2 linked regions of the Drosophila melanogaster genome follow. The protein of the gene in region 2 interacts with the protein of the main gene of each other region in a pairwise test. Each region holds a gene or a part of one and is shown on either strand. Other genes may lie near its edges.

What was found. Proteins that work in one complex are often made in the same cells at the same time.
Region 1: the proteins of CG9040 (region 2) and Tapdelta interact in a two-hybrid assay, tested with the Drosophila melanogaster proteins (one large-scale study listed by BioGRID).

The regions. Positions count from the first base shown.
Region 1 is NT_033778.4:11,369,681-11,373,157, forward strand, and holds Tapdelta (Translocon-associated protein delta), read right to left. Parts: upstream 1,656-3,477; 5' UTR 1,333-1,655; coding exon 1,093-1,332; intron 1,034-1,092; coding exon 773-1,033; 3' UTR 620-772; downstream 1-619. Other genes in the region: CG13204 (uncharacterized protein), read left to right, coding at 1-556.
Region 2 is NT_037436.4:13,986,060-13,989,161, reverse strand, and holds CG9040 (uncharacterized protein), read right to left. Parts: upstream 1,285-3,102; 5' UTR 1,221-1,284; coding exon 735-1,220; 3' UTR 536-734; downstream 1-535. Other genes in the region: CG17362 (uncharacterized protein), read right to left, coding at 2,046-2,507.

The DNA of each region.
Region 1 (3,477 bases), on a different chromosome or scaffold from region 2:
AAGTTGCTCCGGAGGGAATTCCGTACAAACGCAGCAGCAGCAGTCAATGCAAATGCCACAAATTCAACAGCAACAACAGCCGTCGCCCGCCAAAACGCGTAAGATTTGCGATCCGCGTTTTCCGAGCGATTGGGACGTCTCTGCCGTGCTACAGGCCAACAGAGAACTTGACGCAAACACTCTTTTCTTCTTGAGTCTGGCGCGGCAGGTGCGAGCTATGCCCATGAAATTCCAGTCGCTCGCCAAGATGCGTTGCATGCGAATCGTCAGTGATTTGGAGCTAGAGCTGGAGAACTTTGATTGCAACGGTGGAGCGCCACCGCCGGATGATTCAGGCGGAGGAGGAGCTGGGAATCTCAAGTACTGCAGCATAGATACTCCGCCACCGCCGCCGCAGGACGGCTCCGTGGTCATACCCCCGCCGCCAGTCGGCCCCGAGGGCTCCACGGAGCACTTTGTGTATGTGATGTCGCCGTCGCGTGTGGAGAGCATGATAGACATCTCCTCCGACGAGGAGGCGACCATGAATGGAGCGCCCTCCACGGGCCAGGTTTAAGCGTATTCGTACAAGTTATCTCTAAATTAAAATTAAATTAATCTCAACTAGGTTCCTTCGGTTGGTCTTTCAATCAGTTTATTTTGGAGCGGCGGGTGATCCGATGCTTAGGTGTACAAAATGTGGAAAAATCTCCGGGACCCGGCAATTTGATGGTACATGACTTTAGTGCGAATGAATTTCATTCAAAATCTCGATGACGAAGGCATCCTCTACTTAGGACTGCACCTTGCCCTTGGTGGTGAAGGCGAAGTATGCGAATCCGCCGACCAAGAAGGCGGCCAAAAGCTCAGCCTTGATCCAGGGACCCTTGTAGGCACCCTTGGTGGGCACGGAAATGTCGAGCAGCGACTTCACCGATGAAACCTTGTCGCCATCCCGCTGGGCCTTGCGCACATTGGCATAGCCATCCTCGTCGAAGAGACGCACCTGAACATTGCCGCTGCTGCCCTGCTTGATATCCTCCACCCAGCTCACCTAGTGCAGAACAGAGATTAGCCTTTGCACAAAACTTGACGGGGCTACTACTGGCTCACCTGGTACTTGTTGTCGCCCACCTTGGCCACCGGCACCACCTTGCCGCAGGGGAACTCGGCGAACAGGCTGGCGGGAGCGGCTCCGCTGCACTGCAGCGTGAACTCGCCCACATGGGCCAGCTGGGTCAGAATCGTGGCATCCTGGGTGCTGAAAGAGCTCACGGTGGCCTTGCAGCTACCGTAGACGCCGGACGCACAAACGGCGGCAATCAGGCAAATGGCGAACAGTTGACGGGACATCTTGATCAAGTTATGAGGTGGTTTTTATTTAGTAATCAATGGAATAGGCGGAACTCTACGGCTATCCAACTCGGCGACCTGCGACTTTCTTTCTCTCTGGAAGCGAACGCCACGACAGCACCATACATACGTCACGTCACTTGACAGCTACGAAAATTGCCGAAGTCGTACCAGTTCGATGGTCACACTGGTCGTGACCAGGGATGGCAACGCTCAGTCGAGAATAGCTACAAAATAGCTAGTAGCCCGTGGTAAATTTTTCCGATTTTTTACTTGTTATATCTAAAAATACAGTTTTAGAAAGCGGTTTTTTGTAGTTTCCTAATGACATCTATATGTTAAGATTTCTCCGGGAATGTTTGTCGTTCGAATATGATAGCAATTAGTACGTATACGTAAATGTTATAAAATTCATATAAAATTTGTATATACAAGTATTAAAAATAAGTGCGTATACATAAAAAATATAAAAATATGGGATTCATTTTATTTGGAATAAAGTTATTACTAATGATGTCAGTCCTGTCAAAATAAATCTTTCCTAATTATAGGGGCATTGAGATATGTAGACTTAATTTCCTCCCATATCAATTCAATTTCTAGCGATTTCAATTTCAAATATATAATTTGAAAATATCGAATTTTAAATAAAAAACAATTATATTAAAGTTAAATATTAATAAATTAAATTAAATTTATAAATAAAAATATAATGACAAATAGAATTCTTCACCAACAGGTTAAATTTTTGTAGTCTTACTTTGATTAAAAGACTAAAATTCTTATTAAATTATATTTATACAAAATTGTAATGTTTTAAGGAAAAATTGCTCAGCTATGATCGAGTACCGAATGCAATCCATCACTTTGGAGGATTCTGCTTTAGATCGCTATTGCGCTGATATTAAAAACATCAAAGTGAACTTTGATCAAATTGGTGGCTTAATTTGTACTTAGGCAAATACCCAAAGTTCCTTGTCTAAAACGTCTTTGAGGGGATTCCTTTTGCAATACATTTACGTTGGGCTGACTTCATTTAAAATATGTATGTAAGTATCTATTTAATTTAAAGTCAATAGATAAAGTCCAGGCCGTTCCAGTCACAGTAATTTCGTACCGACTGCATTTCTAATTAAAATAAGTTTTCGTCTGACAGTTTTGCTATGGTACCGTTCTGTGATCGGTTACGACTAAGTCCAATATTTATGGCACTTCGATTGCAATTGATTTCGAATTGCAGCAGTGTCAGAGGAAACGGGAGTCCTGTCCAATCGTTGGGGGAGTCTTCAAAGTCGGGCCATAAGCACCGAGTATTGACTGGTGGCAGTGATTAATGCCCATCCAACTGGAATGGGGCTTTCAGCTTTGTTTTAAGTACATTTTATTGGCAATCGGAAAATCGGATACTATCGTATAAATACTTTGGCTAACAGGCATACGAATGTATGCGGATGTGACCTTGAAGTGGGCCTGATTTGGTTTTGCTTTTTTTGTTTACGGTTTTATGCCATTTTGTGTTTGTGTTTGCCGCCACCGTTCGAATCGGCTCCATTTTGCTATGTTCGTTACTTTCCTTTGATTGCCACCGCGCACGGAACTTTTCCACCGAACTTTGCATGTCTTTGATGAATTTGAAATTGTCACAAATGTGAAAGTTTTTCACTTGCCATCCCATCCGGTTGCCCATCCGCAGATACAGATACTCATACTCATACTAATACCGGCAACAACTGAATTTGCATCTAACATTTTGCTGACATTGAGCGACTTGTACGCATTTCTCCTTCCTCCTCCTCCCCTCTTCTCACCACTCTGCCAGCCTTTTTCCTGCTTCTTTTTTTTGGCTACTATTCATTCATTCATGGCCGGATTTGCATATTTGCCAAAAATGCCGTAATCCTTTCGATTAAGAGGCGTTCGGTGGGTGATTCGCAAATGAAAACAAAAGTTCGTGCGGGTTCATTGAGTCGCAGTCGAAAACTTGCCAGACCCACCGGAATTGCACGTGTCTTTGGGGGAGGAGTGGGTTGATCCGGGGTTGGCAGGTGGATCGACGGATGCATTGGGCAAAATAAAGTGCACTCTGACCGGAAACGAAATTGGTACTTAGATTGCAAACATAGAAGCAGGCGCGATTGTGTATAA
Region 2 (3,102 bases):
ATTTCTGTTGGCAGTGCCACTGCCAGAATGTCGGCATTGAAATCGAAAACAATGGTCCCATTGTGGTGGCCGATGGCGCTACTCAGGCTCCTCCCTTTTCGTTATCCTTTCGCCATTAAACAATTGTCGCCTGTGCGCATCAGTAATTAAGTGTCCCTGTGCATTTATGTCTACTTGTATGAGGGCATAATTACTATTTATAGATGCTATTGGCTTACGTCTAAATAGAAACACAATGCGCCAAAGCGCTGGTAAATGTAAATGTGGGCGCCTAAAAATATGCAGCAAAATGCAGCTGACTTTGGTAATACTACGCCACTAGAACGATTTATACTAATCTGGCTGCAGAGACTTGTATATAAACCACAACAGTTTATTAAATGAATGTTTCGTTCAAAAAATTTTTTTCCTTTTAAGGAATACTTGATTTTTAGTTGGCTTTCGATTTTAAGTATTCAGAAACGATTTGTAATGATTAGTTTCTCTCCGAAGAAAGATCATTTAAGCCCTCAAATACAAAATTGTTGTATATTTTGGATTAATAATGTATATTTTTGGTAAATTACAAAACGTCTCCTTATCTTTGTATTTTTATATGGATTTTTTGTACAGAAAACAACATATGAAATATTCCCAGACTAATGTAGATTCTACAAGATGTCTCTTGGTCCTCTTAAAAGTTTGATGTAAAAACTTTCAGTGACTATGGGGAATTTATCCTTTTTTCGAACTGCTTAGCCTGTGCGTTTGCGTTTGTTGGCGGCAGTATTCGCCTTCTTCTTGGCTGCCACAGGTGTCTTCTTCTTTTGGGCAACAGGTGTTTGCTTCTTGGCAGACGCGGCTGCCGCTACTTTGCGTTTGGGAGCAGCGGTGGTGGTGCGCCTGCGCCGTCTAGCTCTGCGTGCAGCAGTTTTCTTGGCTTTTTCTGCCTTGGTTGGAGTTGAACTGGAGGTCGTTTCGGCGGAGGAACCATCTCCAGAAGTTTCTGAAGAACTACCTGTATCGGAAGCTTCGCCGGAGGAACTGTCCTCGGAGGTACTAGCATCATCTTCTGAGCTACTGGATGCACCAACACCACTTTCCGAACTGGACTCTACATCAGAGTCGTCATAGTAGTCATCACCATAGTCGTAATAATCGTAATAGTCATCGTCAGTGTCATCAGCACCCGTTACGAAGGCAACCAATATGGCCAGGCTTAAAACCAACAGCAGCCTCATCTTTTTTTTTTTGTATCTATAGAGTCAACGAACAGATAGGTAACCTTAGGTATAAACGTCTGAGTTTAAAAGTCTTCAACACTGGGTATTTATAGTTTTTTCTCCTCTGAAGAAATTTATAAATATATAAAGCTTTTTTACATTATTTTTCTATGTACATCTGTAGAATGCAAATATTGGTTTTTTAATTCATCGTCTTAATTTTCGGTGGCTTAGAGCACCTGTGTGTGCTGCTTGTATTTGTTTAACATTTTTCGATTGCTATATGTTGAAATTATGAAATTATATTTTGTGTTAGAGCACGAAAAAGTAATATAAACTCTTTTATATTAAAAGAGCCAAGGTCACAAATGTCTTATCTGGATTTTTGAACAATTTGTCTATGGTTTACGCGTTAGGCGACCTGCTAGTAGTTTTATAGAAAAAATAGATATGACATTAAACGTCTTTAAAATTATATAATTTTTCAAGTATATGCGGTGTATGTTTTTGTTTATCAAAAATATATTTATTTACAAATGAGGGAAAAAACACGTGCCGATAAAAACTTATGTAGAATGTTTTCTTGTCTTTTGAACATTGGGTGAAATAGTTAAATATATTTCAAAATTTCTGTGATATTCAAGTTTTGTACAAAATTCATAATAATAAACACCCATACCCAACAACCACATTCTTGGTAAATATCATTATCATTATTATATATTAATTCAAAACCTAACTTATAAACGTCATAGAAAAAAATCTTGGTAATTTTGGGAACAAATTTTTTTGGTATAATTTTTTATTTTTATAATTTGTAGCTACGAATATAATAAACTGGATTTATCCAGAGCGCCTACGTTTGTTGGGTCCAGCATTTGCCCGCTTCTTGGCGGCAACAGGTGTTCGCTTCTTAGCCGCCTTCTTGTTATTACTTTTCTTGGCAGCGGCGGCATTGCGACGTTTAGCTGCTGCCTTATTCTTGTTGTTCCTGTTGTTTTTCCTGGCACCAGCTCTTTTGTTCTTTTTGACAACTGGAGCAGCAGTTGGTGCTTCCGTAACATCGCTAGAGCCCTCGTAGTCGTCATAGGAATCGACGTCCCCAGAGTCGTTTCCACTGTCGACGTCAGTGGAGCTATCACTAGTGTCTCCAGAATCAGCAGTGTTGTCTTCGGAGCTACCGGCAGTATCGTTGTCATCAGCGTAATCGTAAGAGTAATCTCCATCGTCAGACGAATCAGTTGTCTGGGCCACAGCCACGTGGGCTACGAAGACTGCCAATGCCAGAACCAGAAGAAGTTTCATTTTCGTTTTGGGGAGATTTTGTGATCTAAACGAAGAAAGCTCAATCCTCTGGTTTATATACCAACATATCAGTCGAATCTCGTTTTTCATGAATCAAAAGTAAATATGATTAAACAAACACACATTCGTTTACTTTGGGCCAGCTGTGTAGATGTTTTTTTGATTATCAATTTGTTTTAGAAATTTTAGATAATAATATTAGCCCCTGGTGGTTACCTGTAAATACTTTTATAAATCAAGTAGATATATAACGTTTTATGTTGTGGAATAAAATAATATATTGTTTGTCGTCTACAATATAAAACGAACGTTTATAGATCCACTTTATCTACACGCAGTTAAAATTGCGTTCACTTTCAGAAAACGTTTTCAAACGCGTAATCTACGTGATTATTTAATGTGATGGCACGCACTACTCATATTATTTATGGTTATTTTAGTGAAAGCACAAATTTATATGTTTGACCTTTTTCCGTGCAATTTCAGCTCGGGATAACGAGCCGCGGCAGACCGAAAGAGGACCAACCCAGATTCGCAAAGTTCGTGCCATAAATCTGCAGTTTGCATGGAATTAATACCCGACTAGAAGGCGGCG